4 linked regions of the Saccharomyces cerevisiae S288C genome follow. Changing the gene in region 2 together with the main gene of any one other region gives a genetic interaction. Each region holds a gene or a part of one and is shown on either strand. Other genes may lie near its edges.

What was found.
Region 1: mutations in GTO1 (region 2) and CMR3 together harm fitness more than expected from each alone (negative genetic interaction), as found in Saccharomyces cerevisiae (one large-scale study listed by BioGRID).
Region 3: mutations in GTO1 (region 2) and SRP102 together harm fitness less than expected from each alone (positive genetic interaction), as found in Saccharomyces cerevisiae (one large-scale study listed by BioGRID).
Region 4: mutations in GTO1 (region 2) and FAL1 together harm fitness more than expected from each alone (negative genetic interaction), as found in Saccharomyces cerevisiae (one large-scale study listed by BioGRID).

What each region holds. Positions count from the first base shown.
Region 1 is NC_001148.4:584,132-589,519, forward strand, and holds CMR3 (Cmr3p), read right to left. Parts: upstream 1,455-5,388; coding exon 501-1,454; downstream 1-500. Other genes in the region: YPR014C (uncharacterized protein), read right to left, coding at 3,058-3,387. UniProt on the Saccharomyces cerevisiae protein: Probable transcription factor involved in the regulation of the transcription of genes involved in cell rescue and defense, as well as cell cycle and DNA processing.
Region 2 is NC_001139.9:794,435-800,190, reverse strand, and holds GTO1 (omega-class glutathione transferase), read left to right. Parts: upstream 1-2,322; coding exon 2,323-3,393; downstream 3,394-5,756. Other genes in the region: cystathionine beta-synthase CYS4, read right to left, coding at 125-1,648; YGR153W (uncharacterized protein), read right to left, coding at 3,446-4,099; Ras family GTPase RSR1, read left to right, coding at 4,699-5,517.
Region 3 is NC_001143.9:158,537-163,909, reverse strand, and holds SRP102 (Signal recognition particle receptor subunit beta), read right to left. Parts: upstream 2,310-5,373; coding exon 1,575-2,309; downstream 1-1,574. Other genes in the region: phosphoglycerate mutase GPM1, read left to right, coding at 1-268; tRNA methyltransferase RSM22, read left to right, coding at 2,568-4,454; 40S ribosomal protein eS27 RPS27A, read right to left, coding at 4,698-4,943, 5,295-5,297. UniProt on the Saccharomyces cerevisiae protein: Component of the signal recognition particle (SRP) complex receptor (SR). Ensures, in conjunction with the SRP complex, the correct targeting of the nascent secretory proteins to the endoplasmic reticulum membrane system.
Region 4 is NC_001136.10:484,955-489,266, forward strand, and holds FAL1 (ATP-dependent RNA helicase FAL1), read left to right. Parts: upstream 1-1,849; coding exon 1,850-3,049; downstream 3,050-4,312. Other genes in the region: GCV1 (glycine decarboxylase subunit T), read right to left, coding at 1-411; putative uridine kinase DAS2, read right to left, coding at 792-1,490; ATG31 (Atg31p), read right to left, coding at 3,118-3,708. UniProt on the Saccharomyces cerevisiae protein: ATP-dependent RNA helicase involved in 40S ribosomal subunit biogenesis. Required for the processing and cleavage of 35S pre-rRNA at sites A0, A1, and A2, leading to mature 18S rRNA.

The sequences.
Region 1 (5,388 bases), on a different chromosome or scaffold from region 2:
ATTCACTTGGCCTTACTGGCAATCATAATCATTTTGACGAACTGCGGACATCGAGAGTACCCTGCAAATATATCTAGAAAAAGAGGTAAAAAAATATTGAAGGGTCAACCTGAAAAAAATTGAAAAGTGAAAATAGATCTGCTGATAAATAATGCACGGCTTGCATCAAGTGATCACATGGAACTTTCCCAATACCTCAACTACGCATTTTCCCTTGCATATTATATCATCATCCATCTTCTTTGCCTCTCATATATTTACGAAATAATACATAAACATAAAAACGTCTTTGTGCGTCCAAGTAAACTTGAAGACGCACTCCCGTTATATAAAACTGGGAAGAACACTAACAAAGAAGGTGACTTGCGCTTAATTAGTTTTATTCCCTTGCTTCTAAAGTCCGTAAAACATTCTATTAGAGTCTATACATAGTTTTGCCTTACCTTTGAATATGAGTTCTAAAAATTCCATTGCAATAAAGCTTTCCGTTCCTATTGTTTCTATGTAGTGTTTAAGACTTTGTTTCTTTTCCTTTCATGGCTTTTCAAATGTCTCAGCATATTGCTTTTCACATTGAAGGATTTTGTGCAACCCTCCCAAGTACATTTGAAAGGAGTATCTCCCGTATGAATTAAGTAATGTGTCTTCAGCGTTGAGGGCCTCGAACAAATTTTTCCACATACTGGGCACTGCTTTCTCAGCTTTGTGGATGATATTCGGGTGTCAGTTTTCCAATCAGAAAATGTTGCTGAACCGTTCAACACGGCACCAGGTTCGCTTTTTGTTCTGCCGTTACTGGCTTCCTGCATGGTTGGAAGTACGCCATACCCAGGTGGGACTGATTTTGGCCTATCGTGGCATAGCTCTAAGGCAGCGTTTGGGTGACTCGCCATTGATATTGCAGTGAAGTTAGGTTCGGAGGCAATTGTTATTGGTTCTTTGTCGTATGGTGTCAATGGTTTATATACTGTTGGGACCATGACTGGCATCATCAAGGGAGCAGAGGAGGTCAAATGAGGAGACTGGCTATGTGGTATTGGTTGCTGACTTTCCGTATAGTAGATAGGATATTGATCAGATGTTGCGTTCATGGAAATTGGGGTGTAGATCTCATTAACAATGGGTACAACATTCATGCTTTGATAAACTTGCTGTGGAGGGAATTGAACCCTTGAATCTACGTTAGGTGGTGTATTATTTTCAAAATTAGGCAAAAGGGATGAAATTGGTGGTAAGTTTATTTTCGTACTATTATAACATTCCCGTTCATTTTTGTAGCTATTGTGGCCATAAAATTGAGTCCCCTTACCAGTGCTCAGCTGATCAACTGCGGACACTTGAAGGGGGAGGTTCGATTTATAATTGACTGTACACATTCCTATATTAGGAGATCTTGACTTGTCTGTATATGATGATTGTTTTTCTGAACTTTGCTTTGAAAGGGAAAAATTCATGTAATTTACTTTAGTGGCGTTTACTGCTATTTTTCGAAGGTAGGTGATGAACTTGTGTTATAACTAAGAAGCTCAAAACTAAAAGTATACTAATGTTTGAGGAATTATTGTGAAGCCATAGAACAATAAAAAGCTAACAATTGTATCTTTCGTTCAACTTGTCAAACCCTGACAGGCATATAAAAGAGGTATTTTGAAACATCAACATGTAGTAGTCACATATATAGCAAAATAGTAAGTAAGGAAAAAAAGAAGGCACAGAGAATACAACAATAATGATGAAGGCACACGACTGCCCTTTCCGGGCCACCTGCAGATCTGTAAGGTAGTTCAAATGACGTTCTCGCGCGGGTTTCTTACTTATGAAACTTTAGGGACATAAGTCGGGAACCTGATGCATCATTCTTTATCTTGTTTTTTGTTGTTGTTTGAGTTTCTTGTACAGAATAATACGCAGAATTAAAGCGGAAGTTAAAAAACAGATCGTCTTGATCTGCCCTCAAAACCAGTATCCACTGAAAACCTTATTTCCCACCGTAAATGGCAATCACTCGTAGCTCAAGGTGGAATGCTCCCGTAAGGATATTTCCTATATGAGATAGTCCCGATCCTGAGAAGAGGGATCGCCGTCATTTTATTCTTTAACCCCGAGAAACGGCATCTCTCACCTGATTGTTCTCAAGATTGCTGCAAAACCCAGATATACTTTTAGGTACGGAGCGTACGCGATGTATATGGATTGATTTTCACATGTATCGTTTATGAGTACTTGACTGCACCTCGTGTCGGAAGATTTTCCAATCGGGCTTTTTTTCAATCTTGAAGGCCCTCCTTTTCATTTCCATTTGCTCTGACATTGCGGCTATGCATCACAGGCAAAAGCTGAAAAGGAAATTTTGTAGCGTATCGGTTTACTGCACAGTCTCAGACCCTTTGTAGTACTGTTACCTGGAAGAATAGTAGGTGCGTACAACAGTGATTATGTAGTAGTATCTACTGAAGAGCCTACGAGCGAAAAAAAAAAAAATTATCGGCTACATTACGTTGTTTCCTACGGAGACAAGAACCAATATAAGCTGCAAAAAATCTATGAGCATTTTAAGTTTCCGATACAACAAGATGTATGCGTACTATTCACGTCGTGTTATATTGCTCACGTAACAACTTCTATGACAATAATAAAAAATAACCTTTCCATTGTATCATTAAGGTTATCTACGGAGGATTGTCAAACCTAGCGGATATGAAATGTACTTGATTCCTAATTCGGGTTTATTTAGAGTTCAGACTATGTGGGTCATTTCTTATGCTAATAATAGGCACTGAGGTAAGTCAAAATAGCGACACTCAATTACTGTTGAATGGGAAGAAAAAACCGAGAAAGGGATACAGAGATCTTGCCCACGCCTTTTTTTCAAAAAGAGCCCTTCGCAAGGTTGCTCAACGGGATTGTCATAGAAAGAAAAAATCAAAGCCAATAACTACAAGGCCAAAAGTAATGGTAGGGAGCTACTACAAAGTGGGCTCAGCCTACCTGAAGAAAATAAACAATTAATGGACAAGATCTGTTAGCGGACATACAAGAGATCAAATTACCTTCTGGTTAATGCTGTAGGCGAAGCAAACCATTCAATTGAGGAAACCTTATTCCCAATTGCGCTTTTGCTCCCTGGAAGCCTATAACAGCGTGTGGGCAAATAAAGTTGTTTTTCGCCCTCAGCGACTTTACTTCGGAAACTGAAGAGCGGCTAGAAATTTCGCAGAAAAGATTTTCCTTTGAGGATAGAAAAATGAAAAAAAGAAATTTATCTTTTTTCACAACAGGTGCTGCTTTTTCCTCACGTATGCACAGAATGCAAAGTACAAGATTTGTAATACGCGACTCCGCGCAGCTGTACTCTACTCCCAAGTCAGCGGAAAAAATGCAAGACATACAGAAAGTTGCCGCTTTATTGGCTATTTTTTTGGGCGACAGCCCTGGCTAGCCTCCTCATTGGGTTGTAGAGGAAACAAAACTGAGATGTCTTTGGACTAATGTCAGCAATAATAACTCGTAAAATCAAGTCAGAATTTCTATCCATTCAATAGGTATTCATTGTTTATGAAACTAAGAAACGAATGTAAATAATTCTGGGATATAACAAATAGTTCCCTTTGGATTACTTAAAACATAGTACTGCAGCTAAAATTTGTAAAAATGTTAACGTTTCTTTGCGTTGAGTAACTTGACCTTCACACGTAGTTGCAAGTACCGATGCAAAATTTTTACACTGGTGACAACCTTAATGGTATAATCCAATTAGCGACATCACCGAGAAAGTATCCAAGTCGATTTGATGAATAAAATAATAACTTAAACATTCAACGCCGTTTGTTAATACTGACACCTGAAGGAGAGTCAAAAAGGCAAACTTTCTTGCAACAATCATAAAGCTAAGGCACCGCTAGAGCTTACGATATTGGCCGCAAAAATAACTATTACACTTTTTCGTTTCTGTGGAAATGTAGGGTGATCAACTGGCTAATTGCTGCCTTTTAAGATATGCGGAGGAGATTGTGCAGCCATTTTCATTTTAGCGACTCATTGATGGAAGTATTCAAGTCAAGATCACTTGTTTAAATTCAAGACTACTGTTTAAATTCATAATTTTTTATTGCTATCTTTTTTTTACCACAGATCTGACCGACACTCCCGCTTATCGCCCATTGCGGCATATACTTAGGCAAGTCAAAAGCCGAGGACAGCAGTTGAAGACAGGCTACAATTTCTATAGTAGCTTTTTTTCGTTCCTAATTTCTCCAAACACTTTAAGTTTCTTGAAACGTAAATGATACTGCGAAAAATTTGATTTCGTTCTGAAGATACTATCAATTAAACGTGCACTAGGTGCTGTTCCCTCGATGAGCTGCCGCGCTAACCCGTACCCCCCAATTTTGAGCGATTTTAGTGAGTTGTGTTATATAATCCAGGGGTACTCTGCTCCGCGATTTGTGTGATAGCAGCCATAAATGCCCCACGCCAAAGTTCCACGTTCAAATAAAACTTACATCAAAAATTCTTTCTCTTTGAAGTAAATATGCGTGGGGATTGCTGAATAAGCAGCCCAGTGAACATCAGCGCTTTCTGTAAATCATTTATCAGCTAACAATAATTACATAATATAAACCTCCAATAACTGTCCTGCTAGTGGCACGTTGTTGGCTGTCAGAAACGAAATGTGGGTCCTATTTACCCCTTGGTTTTAGTATGGGAGCACGAATGGTAAACACCTTCTCATAAAATAACTGATAACGTCTTAAAGCGACCAAATACTTTATTGTTGCGGGCAAACATTATTGTTAAATGCGTGGTCTAGAAGTAAAATTTTCTGCATAGTTCACTGTTATGTAAATTTTGAACTTGAAATCTTTTCTTAGAAAGAGTCTGTCATCCTTGGAAACATTGCTGACCAAGAATACGATATTGTGAGAAGACATTGTACCCAAAAAAAATTTTTCATTCCTATAGTTTGGATTGGAGATGATTCAAACACAGCATATTCATGTGTTACCTTCCCGGTTATGCACGAGGTCAATGAGACCGTTCCCTTGTGTTGTACCAGTGGTAGGGTTCTTCTCGGTAGCTTCTCCGCAATAAGAATGATTGAATCATATTGTAACATTAGATTTTGGCCTTTCACTAATTACCGTAGGTAATTTTGTTGGTTAAACTGACAAAGAATAAGAGTTTAACCAACAAAATTAAGTCTTGGTGCATTGAATGGAAGAAAAGATGATACAACGCCAACCTAAAGAGTGGAAAGCGTTCTTTCAAATGAGGGTAGTAGGAAATTCAGCGGGAAAGTTTGAAAATGTGGTGGTAAAACAATAATCCTGGTTTTTCTTTGTTATCCGATAGGAAATTTATCCCCTTCTATGTTCCACTAATCACTTC
Region 2 (5,756 bases):
AATGCTGCTTCGTATAGGCGCTATTTAATTAAGTAGTTATATAAAGAGAACGGTGCAATTGAATAGGAAAGGAATGACGGATTTTGCTTCTATGTTTGCTTTTATTTGAAGCGTGGGTTCTTATTTATGCTAAGTAGCTCAGTAAATCCATCTTAGTAACGATATGGATTGGTTTCAAGCCATCAGTGATAACGGCAGATGAGTTTTTTTCAAAGAAACGATTCAAGTCAGATAGCTTTGAGTTTTCATCGAATTTAATAAACTTCTTCTTACCGGATTTATTTTCGTTGTAAGAGGAAACATCATTGAAATTGTTTAATTTCTTGAAGTCCAAGTATTTACCCTTTATAGTGTTGTCGTTGTTTGAATTATTGATTGATAGTTTTCTTAGAAGCTCAGAGAGAGTAACTAAACCAGACAACTTGCCGTCTTCAGTCAACACAGGCAATTGGTCAAAGCCATTGTCTTTTAATATCTTGATAACATCAGTGACCTTAGCGGTTTCCTTAACGGAAACAACCGGTTTCAAGTGAAGATCCTTTACAGTAGCGTTACCAAACACATCAGCGTATTTTGTCGTCGAAGCCTCCAGCTTTGAAGAGTCAAAACGGGCCAACACGTCATCATCCCACAAATTGTTCTTTTTCAACCATTCGTCATCGACGAATTTGGTTAGGTACGACCTGATGGAATCTGGGAATATGGCAACAATGACATCATCTTCAGTCAGTTCAGGGTGGTCTTCACAGTATTTCACAACCGCAGTGAAGGCAGAACCGGAAGAACCACCCACCAAGACACCTTCGTTAGAAATCAATTGTCTGGCGTATTTGAAAGAAGGCTTGTCGTCTGTCTTATACCAAACATCAATTAATTTTCTGTCCAAAACCTGAGGAACAAAATCATAACCAATACCCTCAACTTTGTAGTCAGTGATATCAGTCTTATTCAAGTTTTCAGGTTGGGCTAAAATTGAACCGAATGGGTCAGCACCAACGATTTGGATCTTATCATTCTGTTCTTTCAAGTACTTGGAAATACCGCTAATAGTCCCACCAGTACCAGCACCAGCAACAACAGCGCGTAGATTATCAAATAAATTCAAGTCTTCTAGCTGTCTTTGGATTTCGCGACCAGTACCAAAGTAATGAGCTTCTGGGTTCATCATATTGTTATATTGGTCAAGTATAACAGCACCAGGAATCTCTTTTTCCAACTTCTTAGCAACACCAATATGTGATTCTGGAGAATCCCAGGCAGCAGCAGTTGGAGTTCTGATGATTTCAGCACCCAGAGCCTTTAGGACAGAAACTTTCTCGTTAGACATTTTTTCCGGCAAGGTGATGATAGTTCTGTAACCTTTGATGGCGCCGATTAAAGCTAGACCGATACCGGTGTTACCAGAAGTAGGTTCGATCAGAGTAGATCTGGAAGGATGAATTCTACCGGAAGCTTCAGCTTCTTCCACCATAGACTTGGCAATTCTGTCTTTGATGGAACCACCTGGATTGTATAGTTCCAGCTTAGCATAAATTTGTGGTTTGATACCCAAAGCCTTAGGCAATTTTTTCAGTGCGATCAATGGGGTGTTACCAACTAAGTCGATAACGTTATGTCTTGAATCGGCTTGCTGCTCAGATTTAGTCATTTTTATTCTTACGTCGTATTTATCTAGATGTCCTTTGAGCAAGTGGCCTACAACGAAATCTTCAAGTGTTGCCTTTTACTTTGGCATAGAAGCATCACGACATTTATATATACAAGCCTGGTGAAGTGCCTTGCGTTTACTTTAACCTTTAGGAGAAAAAAATTTTCGGTGTTGGTTTCTTTTTTTCCTTTCGGTGCAAAACTGTGGAGGAAGATGGCAATAAATTAGTGAAACGGTAATGCCGTGTGGACTGCATATGCCGGATATAGCATTTATCAGTCACGACAGAGCTGATTATCCTTACTTGGGTGAAGTTGAAGTTGTTGTGATAAGGTTAGAATGCAAATGAAGCTTTGTCAGCGCTGAGAAAGAAAATTTTGTTTTGTGAGCCACTACTATCACGTGCCATTACCATTTTAATCAGTTATGAAATAGGGGAATGTGTCATTGAGGGAAAATGTAATGGCCACCAAATGAATCAGAGGGTCGGATGAGAACACACCCTTACTAACTGCTGTTCATATCTCACAGTTGCCATTGATAAGCTCTGGTGGGAAAATACCCTTGATTTTTGGTAGCACATATTGACATAACAAAAGTCTTGACTTTGCCAATTGGAGAGATGGCCACTTATAGAGGAAAATACTCGTAAAAATAATCATAAACAGTAAGCCATGTCAGTATCTTACAAGGGAACAATTTCTAAGACACATTCTGTTTTTAAACCAGAAAAAGGAAGGTATTATATTTACGGGGCCCTTGGGTGTCCATTCACTCATAGAGCCATTCTTGCCAGGTCTTTGAAGAAATTAGAACCTGTTCTAGGGCTTGTGTTATCTCACTGGCAATTAGACTCCAAGGGTGCCCGTTTCTTACCTGCTCCACACCGGCCGGAAAAATATAAAGAGAGATTCTTTACTGCCACTGGTGGCATTGCTTCAGCTAAATTAGACGAATCTGAGGAGTTAGGTGATGTGAACAATGACTCTGCAAGGTTGTTCGTGGATGGCGCTTTCGACCCGGTGGAAAATATATCAAGGTTAAGCGAGTTGTACTACTTAAATGATCCTAAGTACCCCGGTACAAAGTTCACTGTGCCTGTTCTGTGGGATTCTAAAACAAGGAAAATTGTTAACAATGAGAGTGGCGATATCATAAGAATTTTGAACAGTGGCGTGTTTGATGAATTTATCCAAAGCGAAGAAACGAACGTGATTGATCTAGTTCCGCATGATTTAATAGACGAGATTGATAAGAACATCAAATGGGTTCATCCGAAGATTAATCTTGGTGTCTATAAAGTCGGATTAGCAGAAAACGGAAAGATTTACGAAACTGAAGTAAAAACACTGTTTGAAAACTTGCAGAAGATGGAATGTGTACTAAAAGAAAATTATAAGCGCTTAGAGGAGCAATTCAGTGGTAACAAACAGAAAATCTTGGCTAAATATTTTGTTTTAGGACAGAGGTTAACTGAAGCGGATATCAGATTGTATCCATCAATAATTAGATTTGACGTCGTGTACGTGCAGCACTTCAAATGCAATTTGAAAACTATAAGGGATGGTTTCCCGTACCTTCATTTGTGGTTGATTAATCTATACTGGAATTACGCAGAGTTTAGATTTACTACAGATTTTAATCATATTAAGCTCTTTTACATCAGGATGGAAGTAAGTAGGAACAAGATCAATCAGTTTGGTATAGTGCCATTAGGCCCAAAGCCTGACATTTCTAGATTATGAAAACTTCTAATATTTTCTTACACACACATATATTTATATGCATGGCTATACTTCAAAAGAGGTTGTCACTTCCATTTCCATGTAGGTAAAACTCGTGTATAGACGGAACACAGACTTCCCTAGTTTTATTGACTTCATAGTCTCTGCACCATTCAATTATGTCTCTGTAAAAGAGACTCTTCTTTATATCGCCCTTTTCTATATTCTCCATCTCCAGTTCTTTGAAGCATTTTGCTTTTCTCGATTTATGACAACCACACGGTTTTACACTCTCCTCTCCATGTTCTACCATTTCATGCCTCCAGTCAAAAAATGGTTGACTGTATTCCCTACTTGAATCCATACTTGATTCAACAAGGTAGTTTCTCGAATTCTCAGGTAGTACTGCCACCCTCCTTAAACGTTTCTCTCTTTGTCTTGCTTCCTTTCTTTGTTCTATTTTTGGCGGAATGGTAAATTTCACAGGATTCTTGGATCCATTCTCATTTTCATTCAAGGCATTTAAGTCCAAGGAAAATAACCGTATGCTCACGTTGGACCCTTCAAACGTGAAACTATCTTCACTCAATATACTTCCTACACCGCATTGTTCCTCGTTACTACTTGAATCCTGTATATCTGAGAGAGAGGTAAAAAATGAGTAGGTATCTCTTTCCCCCTCACATTCGTAAGTGCCGACTTCTTTATTCAAACAGGCCTTTCCCATTTCTCAAAGACCTCTTTTCGTAACCTATTTAGTAATGATGAAAAGTATTAAACAGTATTTTCAAGATAAGAATTTTATTATTTTGTACCATTTACGATACACATAAACCCCAGAAAAAAACAACTTTATGGGAAAAGGCGAATAGTACTCATAATATACAAGGTAAAAGCAGGCGTATCTCAGTCATACAGTTCAATAGAGAAAGGCATTTTTGGAATATCATACATTTTATCTAGCAAGTGGAAACAGACTGTATATTCCCAAGAATCATCGCCTTTTTATCACAACGTCAGCCTCACAACTAATTCGCGTCAAAGCGCATTCATCCTCGACATTCTCAAACGCGAAATATCGTCGAAAAAGGTTAAAAAGAAAAGAGAGAAGGACAGAAAAAGAAAAAAGTAAAGTAGAGCTCGATCTCGAAAAAAAGAACCATTGCGTTCGTTCTTAACTACGCCAAGAAGTTTTTGAAATTTCATCCTCTCCACTGAACAATAATACTATTATTTAGTAACGATATAGAACATTTACATACAACGTTCTAATATTTTGGCTTCTATCATCGCTTAGAAATATTTGGCTAGGAAACATTAGGACTAATGAGAGACTATAAATTAGTAGTATTGGGTGCTGGTGGTGTCGGTAAATCCTGCTTAACCGTGCAGTTTGTACAGGGAGTTTATTTGGATACGTATGATCCAACGATCGAAGATTCTTACAGGAAAACCATCGAGATCGATAACAAGGTATTCGACCTGGAAATTTTAGATACAGCGGGTATAGCACAATTTACTGCAATGAGAGAATTATACATAAAGTCAGGAATGGGGTTCCTGTTGGTATATTCAGTAACAGATCGGCAATCTTTGGAAGAATTAATGGAGCTAAGAGAACAGGTCCTTAGGATCAAAGATTCCGATCGCGTTCCAATGGTTCTAATAGGTAACAAGGCTGATCTAATCAATGAAAGGGTAATAAGTGTGGAAGAAGGTATAGAGGTAAGCAGTAAATGGGGTAGAGTTCCCTTTTATGAAACAAGCGCTTTGTTGAGGAGCAATGTGGATGAAGTGTTCGTTGATTTAGTTAGGCAAATCATTCGGAATGAAATGGAAAGTGTTGCAGTTAAAGACGCAAGAAATCAAAGTCAACAATTTAGCAAAATCGAGTCTCCATCAACCAGGCTCCCTAGTTCTGCGAAACAGGATACGAAACAATCAAACAATAAGCAATCATCAAAAGGTTTATATAACAAATCTTCACAAGGACAAGCTAAAGTTAAACAATCTACTCCGGTTAATGAAAAGCACAAACCGTCACATGCCGTTCCGAAATCTGGTTCTAGCAACAGGACAGGAATTAGCGCTACTTCACAACAAAAGAAAAAGAAGAAAAACGCTTCCACTTGCACTATTCTATAGTCACTTAATTTTATTATAAATGAATCAAGATATCAGATAAAAAGACTTTACTTGAAATAGTTTTATTATAGTTCTAAAAGGTTTAGTTTAAAGTATTAGCATACGTTGTATAAGTTTTTAAAGAAATCAATTAATAATGTTTGAAAATAAATTTAAACCCAAAAAAAATGAAATGTTAAAAATATGGACGCAACCGGAATCGAACCGATGACCTCTTCCTTGCAAGGGAAGCGCGCTAC
Region 3 (5,373 bases), on a different chromosome or scaffold from region 2:
GTTGCCATACTGGCAAGATGTCATTGCCAAGGACTTGTTGAGTGGTAAGACCGTCATGATCGCCGCTCACGGTAACTCCTTGAGAGGTTTGGTTAAGCACTTGGAAGGTATCTCTGATGCTGACATTGCTAAGTTGAACATCCCAACTGGTATTCCATTGGTCTTCGAATTGGACGAAAACTTGAAGCCATCTAAGCCATCTTACTACTTGGACCCAGAAGCTGCCGCTGCTGGTGCCGCTGCTGTTGCCAACCAAGGTAAGAAATAAGTCTGAAGAATGAATGATTTGATGATTTCTTTTTCCCTCCATTTTTCTTACTGAATATATCAATGATATAGACTTGTATAGTTTATTATTTCAAATTAAGTAGCTATATATAGTCAAGATAACGTTTGTTTGACACGATTACATTATTCGTCGACATCTTTTTTCAGCCTGTCGTGGTAGCAATTTGAGGAGTATTATTAATTGAATAGGTTCATTTTGCGCTCGCATAAACAGTTTTCGTCAGGGACAGTATGTTGGAATGAGTGGTAATTAATGGTGACATGACATGTTATAGCAATAACCTTGATGTTTACATCGTAGTTTAATGTACACCCCGCGAATTCGTTCAAGTAGGAGTGCACCAATTGCAAAGGGAAAAGCTGAATGGGCAGTTCGAATAGTACTTAAGATTAGTTAAAAGTCCATGATTGAACATTGATGTGGTAGTTACATGCATGATGAATATGCGCCATGAGAGGTTGGTGAATTTTGAGATAATTGTTGGGATTCCAATGTTGATAAAGGCTGTTATATTATGTATACAGAATATACTGGAAGTGTCTCCTCGAGGATATAGGCATCCCCAAAAAGGAATCGATATTTCTACATAATAATATCACGATTGTTCCTCATTCCATTTCATATGTTTCATTATCCTATTACATTATTGATCCTTGTATTTCAGCTTTCTCTAACTTCGATGACAGTTTCTCATACCTTATGTCATCATGTCCACATTTGACACCATATAAGATAATATACTGGTAGTATAACCACTAGTTGATGACGATAGTTGATTTTTATTCCAACACGCGGACATATTAAATGTACGGTGGCTAGCAGGCCTCCTATTCACCATATTTAATCTTCATTAGTTGTACCTTTGACCATTGACAATCAACACAATAATTATGAACAAAATTTCCTGGTACAATGATTATGGTAAAGAAGAAAAAAAACGCTGCTTGCTATAACCAAATCAGAAAATATAATACTATAATAAAAATACATCAAACTACTTATCTTCAATTATTTTCCCGCATAATTAGATCATATAACTGCTGGAACATCAAACAAATATTAGCTCGCGTGGCGTAATGGCAACGCGTCTGACTTCTAATCAGAAGATTATGGGTTCGACCCCCATCGTGAGTGTTTTTTACACCAGCAGTCAAAAAGAGTTACTTTTGATATTGCATGTGTCGATGATGCAACTATGTCTTTCTCTGCGTACGGAATCTAGAGCTATGTTAAATGCTTGTTTTTAAACTATCTATCGTTCATCTAGTTATAAATTATAATTATATTACAGTTTTTCATCTATCCATTCGCGCCATTGGGAAATTTTTCTTTTATTAATACTGCCCTCAAAAGCAACTACAGATGCTTCCAAATTTGCAAATTTGAACCCGTCGGTAGACTGTAAAACGTCTAGTGTATTCTCTGCATAATCTTCTTCGTTAATTTTTCTTTCAACCTCGTTCAACGATTTTTTCCTTCTTTCAATAACCTTTTGAATTTCGCTTTCTAAAGCATCCTTGATCTTTGATGGTGGTCTTGCAGTGAACAATTCGCTTTTATTGCATGCAATTAAGATATCAATACCATTTTCGCAACTAGATTCAGTAATTGATAATATGTCTACCAAGAACTCAGCTGTTGTTGTTAATTTCTTAGGATCAACTGTTGAGTCTACCATAAATATCAACCCTTTAACAAATTTGGCTCTTGTTTTCAAATAATCTGAGAGTTTATAACGCAACTTGACATGGCCTGGGAAGTCCACTAACGTGACGCCGGAACCATCGTAATCCGCTGCTGATAACGGTTCTTGAGAAACAACAGTTGGTCTTACTGAATCTGTGGTTAGCAGCGTAAGCAAGCTCGTTTTTCCAGAATTTTGAGGACCTGCAATGATAATAGATGGTTGATAACTTTTTTGCTTGATCCCTGTCTTGGAGGATGCCTTTTGCACTGCTATTAGCGCTATGGTTGTCCCTATCACCAATAAACAGGCAATAATAAGTGTATTACTAAGCATTCTGATCCCGTGTGCTATTATGCTAATAAACAGCAGTGGTAAAGTAATAATTAATTGATCAATACAGACACTTAAAGCCTAACTATTTCTTTTCTTCTCATCTTTTTCAAGTTTAATGATGGTTCATATTTGTTTTCCATATCTCTTATTTTTTTCCGCCACTAGATGAAAAAAGTGAATGGTGAAAAATTAAGAACAGTATTGCAGCAAAACCTCTGACACTTTAGGACATAAGGTGGCCCGTCTAGTTTAGGTAAAATGATGAAAAGATGCTTCAGTATCCTACCACAAAATGTCCGGTTCAGCTCAAAGTTCACAAGTTTAAACTTACCAAAGTTAGATTTGGCGGATTTTATAGACTCAAATAAAAGAGGAATCAATGTTCTTCCGTCGTACAGAGATGAAACCGCTAGCACCACTCAAGCAACTAATTCTAAAGAGCTCAGATTACTTTCCAAAACACTTCAGGGCCAGTCGTACCGGGACCAATTAGAGTTGAATCCTGATGTAAGCAAAGCAATCAACAATAATATTATGGCTGTACATATTCCCAATAATCTTAGAAGGGTTGCTACAAATTATTACAAAGAGATTCAGGAACCAAATTCATTACATCGTCCCTGTAGAACCAAAATGGAAGTGGATGCACATATAGCGTCCATTTTTTTACAAAATTATGGTTCTATTTTCCAAAGTCTGAAAGAATTACAAAAAAGGGTAGGTCCTGATAATTTTAAACCTCAAAGAATCCTTGATGTTGGATATGGCCCAGCGACTGGTATAGTTGCCTTGAATGATATTTTAGGCCCAAATTATAGACCTGATCTAAAAGATGCCGTTATTTTAGGGAATGCGGAGATGCAAGAAAGAGCCAAAATCATTTTGAGCAGACAACTTAACGAGGTGGTCGATACTGTAGAAGAAAATGTGTCTACAGAGAAAGAGCAGGAAACAGATAGACGGAACAAAAACTTTCAAGAGGATGAACATATTGGAGAAGTGATGACAAAAAAGATAAACATTATGACTAACTTGCGGTCTTCTATTCCCGCATCTAAGGAATATGACCTCATAATATTAACGCATCAACTTCTTCATGACGGGAATCAATTTCCAATTCAGGTGGATGAAAATATTGAGCACTACTTAAATATTCTAGCGCCTGGAGGCCACATTGTTATTATTGAACGAGGCAACCCAATGGGATTCGAGATTATAGCCAGGGCAAGGCAAATTACGCTTAGACCTGAAAACTTTCCAGATGAATTCGGAAAAATACCAAGACCTTGGTCTAGGGGAGTAACAGTCAGAGGCAAAAAAGATGCTGAATTAGGAAACATTTCCAGTAATTATTTTCTGAAGGTGATTGCACCTTGTCCACATCAAAGGAAATGTCCCTTACAGGTTGGAAATCCTAACTTTTATACTCATAAAGAGGGTAAAGACTTAAAGTTCTGCAATTTTCAAAAAAGCATCAAGCGTCCCAAATTCAGTATAGAGTTAAAGAAGGGTAAACTTCTCGCTACTTCATGGGATGGTTCTCAAGGAAATGCGTCGAGGCTAAAAGGAACGGGAAGAAGAAATGGTCGTGACTATGAAATTTTAAACTACTCCTATTTAATATTCGAGAGATCACATAAGGACGAAAATACGTTGAAAGAAATTAAGAAATTACGGAATGAAAATGTGAACGGCAAATATGACATTGGATCACTGGGTGATGACACGCAAAATTCCTGGCCTAGAATTATCAATGATCCTGTCAAACGTAAAGGTCATGTTATGATGGATTTATGTGCGCCATCAGGAGAACTTGAAAAATGGACGGTTTCGCGGTCGTTTTCTAAACAAATATACCACGATGCCAGAAAGAGTAAGAAAGGTGATTTATGGGCCTCAGCGGCCAAAACACAGATTAAAGGGCTGGGAGACTTGAATGTTAAGAAGTTCCACAAGCTAGAAAAGGAGAGAATCAAGCAGTTGAAAAAGGAAGAACGTCAAAAAGCTAGAAAGGCTATGGAATCTTATAATGAATTGGAGGACTCTCTTCAATTTGATGATCATCAGTTCTCAAACTTTGAGGTAATGAAGAAATTGTCCACTTTTCACGGCAACGATTTTTTACAACATGTAAATAGAAAATAGGAAATTGTAAGTAACTGGAAATAAAGTAATAATATTAATATATTCAATACTTTAATATTCTACATACGTGAATATGATATATATATAGTACAGTTTGTTGCAGCGTTTCTAAAAAGCCAATAAAGATGACAACTGAGTGTATATTATATATGATAAAACCTACCCTGCTGGTTCCATAATTGAATCACTTTATTAATGCTCTTCTTTTGAAGTAAATTTCGTTTCATCTGTCTAGTAATGAAATTACTTTCTTCTGAAAGATGTACCCTCAGAAAGCTTTGCCTTACCACCAGTTGGGGTGCACAAAATTGTTGAGCAGGATTCGCAGGTAACTGCAGTTTGGGCGTGTGAGAAAACTGTAGTGATGTTCAAACAACCTGGGCACTTAACGTCTAGGAAGTACGATCTTGGACCTTGGACTAATGTCTTTAATTTGTGCTTTCTTGCTTCAGAAGCTGCAGTTGGGTGCAATAAATCTTGAACTAAAACCTGTTGTAGACGAATAAGAAATAAATCTAACTGTTAGTAAACTTCCTTTTTTCTCCTCATCTCGGTGCAGAATAGAAAAATAACAATAGCTTGAGTTGCTGGGAATGAAGTTCGCCATCATCAGAATTTTATATTCCCCTACAATGAACTGTAAGCTCATACGTCCATCCTGAATCTTATCCACTATATGTAGCAACCGCTTGAAATATTTCAAAAGTCTTTCTTCATAGTTCTTGCCTCTCTTGGTGCAAAATTTTCCACCACATGTATTCTTTTCTTTTTGCGACTTATCTATATGTATTGTTCTATTCACTGGTCCAGTTGCGCTGCATTTATTGGATACTAACATACCATTTTGGGATATCTATCTTTGCTTTGTTGGAAGGTGTTACGATGAAGTTGCTTGTTATCGAAATTAGACTCCGCTTAT
Region 4 (4,312 bases), on a different chromosome or scaffold from region 2:
GTCTCTTTCCGCACAGCCAGCATTGGTCACAATATAGAACTCATTGTCATCGTTTTCTTTAGTGATGATGGTATCGTCTACCACGCCTCCCTGTGGATTTAATAGAACACTTAAGGTCCCTGACCCAACAGGCAAGGCATTGAAATCTGTGGGCGTTACACGTTGCAGAAACTTAACAGAATGAGGACCAGATAACTTACTTTGTAACATATGAGAAACATCAAATAAACCAGCGTTTGTCCTGGTCCAATTATGTGATTCAATATGAGTCTGTCCCTTGTATAGTACGGGCATGGAATATCCTGCGTATGGTACCATTGTACCGCCTAATGACACATGAAGGTCATGAAGAGCAGTTTTTTTCAAAGTTGAGTTGAATCTCTTAAACACAATTTTTTTGATTATAGACATTATTGCTTGTGCCAGGCAAAGCTCTTTCTACATATGTGAGCTACGGGTACTGTAATTGGATTTGTTTGGGTTCAAGGTGCTATATATATGATATTTGGACCTATTCTTTTTGACATACCGTTTACTCGAGGCAACACGAGTCAGGGCTCCTGAGCAGAGTCGCCCTGCCGAAAGAAGTCACGGCGATGAACAAAATAGGTGATATCTATGACCAGCTCTAAGTAAGAACTCAGCTTCCCGTGAGCATGGTTCTAATGGAGTAAAAGCGCCCATCGAGATCCAAGAATGCAAAAAAAAAATCAATAAGCTTGTGTGGGTAAATACGGATGTTAGTCGCATCGAGCCGATTAAAAGTGGCGCAGATATAGAAGGCAAGGACCTCATGACAGATCGTAATATCTATCTTTCTCCAAGTCCATTGTTTCAGCTTCGAAATCCCATAAACGTGGGCGTATTTTGTTGTTCGTATTGTTGCCTTCTATTTGGCTTTTGGTATCTTCGATTGCTTTAACTATACCGTCCACGAGGACTGCGCGCCCTAGATTTTCATTTGTAGAAGGAATGATCAAATCTGCAAAAGTTCTAGTGGGCTCTATATATTGTTGCATCTCCGGGCGCAGATGGTCCATATACTCAGTGATCAACTGGGCTAGTTGTTCATTGCTCCCTACGTTCTTCTTCTTGATTAGACTAATTAATCTTTTATCTGCATCACTATCCAAGAATACTTTTAATTGAGATATTTCGTTGATGCGTTTATCGTATAGCGCATAACAGCCACATACTATTATCAAATCTATCGGGTCCTCGTAATCATGTTGAATCATGTCATTTTGAGAAGTTACAGCGTGCTTTTCATATACCAAATTAAGGATATTATCAAAATCATAGTCGTTATTATTGTAGCTCTTGATGTTCCCTTCTATCATATTATCTAGGTTTATTACCCTTATATTGATAGAGTTATATAGGCTTTTGAAAGTATTTTGTAAATCCAGTGCAATTGCTCCAACACCAGTAGCATGCCCTCCACCGATAGAAATAACAATTCTTTTTTCTTCGACAGCTTTTCTGTCCATTTCCTGTAATATTTATCTCGCTAATTGTTAATGCAGGAAACGAAAATTAAAAACGATTTCCCTTGTGGTATGCTCTAGGAAAAATGTACAGATAAATTGAATTATCCGTGATGGCAGCGTACAATCCATAGTTGCTTACTATTTGATCTGCTTTTTCTATCAGTGTCGAGAATTTATGCCGAAGTTTGAAAATTTTATTTTATGCGATGAGCTAGATAATAGCAGGGCCCAGACAAAATAAAAACATGAATTATACACAAATTTTAATATAAAAGGGCCACCACTCCTTCAAGAGGTATAAAAATTTGTTCACTCAAATAAAATAGACCGTACAGAAACAAAAAAAAAACTCATTAGACATGTCGTTTGACAGAGAAGAAGACCAAAAATTGAAGTTTAAAACATCGAAAAAATTAAAGGTGTCTTCTACTTTTGAAAGCATGAATCTAAAAGATGACTTACTTCGAGGAATATACTCATACGGTTTTGAAGCACCATCCTCTATCCAATCAAGGGCTATTACACAGATTATTTCGGGCAAGGACGTTATAGCACAAGCACAATCAGGTACAGGTAAGACAGCAACTTTTACAATCGGCCTTTTACAAGCTATTGATTTAAGGAAGAAAGATTTACAAGCTCTAATACTATCTCCAACACGTGAATTAGCAAGCCAAATTGGGCAAGTAGTAAAAAATCTAGGGGATTATATGAATGTCAATGCATTTGCCATTACAGGTGGTAAAACTTTGAAAGACGACCTGAAGAAAATGCAAAAGCATGGTTGCCAGGCCGTTAGCGGAACACCAGGAAGAGTATTAGACATGATTAAGAAACAAATGTTGCAAACAAGAAATGTTCAAATGTTAGTTTTAGATGAGGCTGATGAATTATTGAGTGAGACACTAGGTTTCAAGCAACAAATATACGATATTTTTGCAAAATTGCCTAAAAATTGCCAAGTTGTTGTTGTCAGCGCAACAATGAATAAGGACATTTTAGAAGTAACCAGAAAATTTATGAATGATCCAGTTAAAATCCTAGTGAAGAGGGATGAAATATCACTTGAAGGTATCAAACAATATGTCGTTAATGTTGACAAAGAAGAGTGGAAATTCGATACTCTGTGTGATATATACGATTCTTTGACCATTACACAATGTGTGATATTCTGTAACACCAAGAAAAAAGTAGATTGGTTATCTCAGCGGCTAATCCAATCAAACTTTGCTGTAGTCTCCATGCATGGTGATATGAAACAAGAAGAAAGAGATAAAGTAATGAATGATTTTAGAACAGGTCATTCTCGTGTACTGATATCGACGGATGTTTGGGCGCGCGGTATTGATGTCCAACAAGTTTCTTTAGTCATTAACTATGACCTACCAGAAATAATAGAAAATTACATCCATCGTATCGGTAGAAGTGGTCGATTTGGTAGAAAGGGTGTGGCTATAAACTTCATTACCAAAGCTGATTTAGCAAAACTTAGAGAAATTGAAAAATTCTATTCTATCAAAATAAATCCGATGCCAGCAAATTTTGCAGAATTATCATAAAATATAGAGAACATATACCTACATAAACAAGTTAAGAGAGTCTCATCCATGCGGCTTCATTTTTGCTTTCATACGGAATTGGAGAGCATTTGTAATTGTTCATTTTGTGTGACGTAGAGTTTAATTAAGTCATTCAAACTCAAATCGCGAAGAAAAGGAGACAGATCGCAAAATTGTGAAATTACATCGAGCTCAATGTCCGAGTCCACTCTGAATCTATCACTGTCAACGCTAAGTTCTTCCTCTTCATCATTAGATTTATCATCACCATGTGATGATAATGTTCTCATTTGGTTTTCCTCCAAGCTGAGACTATTTGTCCTATGTGACAAAAGCTCATATTGGTCGCTGATTAGTGTGATATCCTCAAGAGATCCCGATTCATCCAATTGGACAATTATGACATTTTCAAGTTCATCTCCGACCTTATCTATTCCTGCTGTCAAAGCAGCATCACTTGAATCTACTAGTTCATCATTGTTGTCCTCAAATATGTACTTAATGTTAGTGGGAAACATTGCATAATCACTTCCGTCCGTGCTCTTTGATTCATTATTGTATGCTGGTTGATCATCGTTGCTGGGACCCTTGTTATTTTTGATATTCTCTTCTAATCTGTACTTGACATTTTTATCATAAACAGTAACTGTAACATTCATTCCTGTTCGCAGATTTCAGCAATGTTTACCGGCTTAATAAGAAAATGGGAATGCGACGTTTATCTTGGATATTGACCACCCTTATATTATGGATATGTACTTCAAATTATTATCTTTTACGATAAAAAAGATTCTGATCCAACCGAGGTTCGAACTCGGGATCTTCGCCGTGTAAAGGCGACGTCTTGAACCACTGGACCATTGGACCGGAAACCCATTGGAAATGACTTAATCCCAATATCGCTATATTAAATGTAAAATAACTTTTTCAGGATAATCCACAAGAGTGGTGCTTCTGTCATTAAACTAATTTTTTTAAGGCCTGTTCGCCTATTATATGTCGAAAGTGTGTATTTCTTTCAAGTTATGCCTGCAATTCAAAGGACAGATTTATTTTACAGTGTCGACGACACCGTTTGAAAATGCAGATGCAGGACTGGGCACGTTTTACAATACGTATCGAGTCAAAAATACACTGATTTTGGTGATATTAGCTGCAGCATGGCGAATTTTTCACATATTACTGATAAGGATGGACATTATGTTTGACTTTTTTCCTTAGAGTAAGTATGGTCAGCAGAACAAAAAAGAGTTCCTACATTTA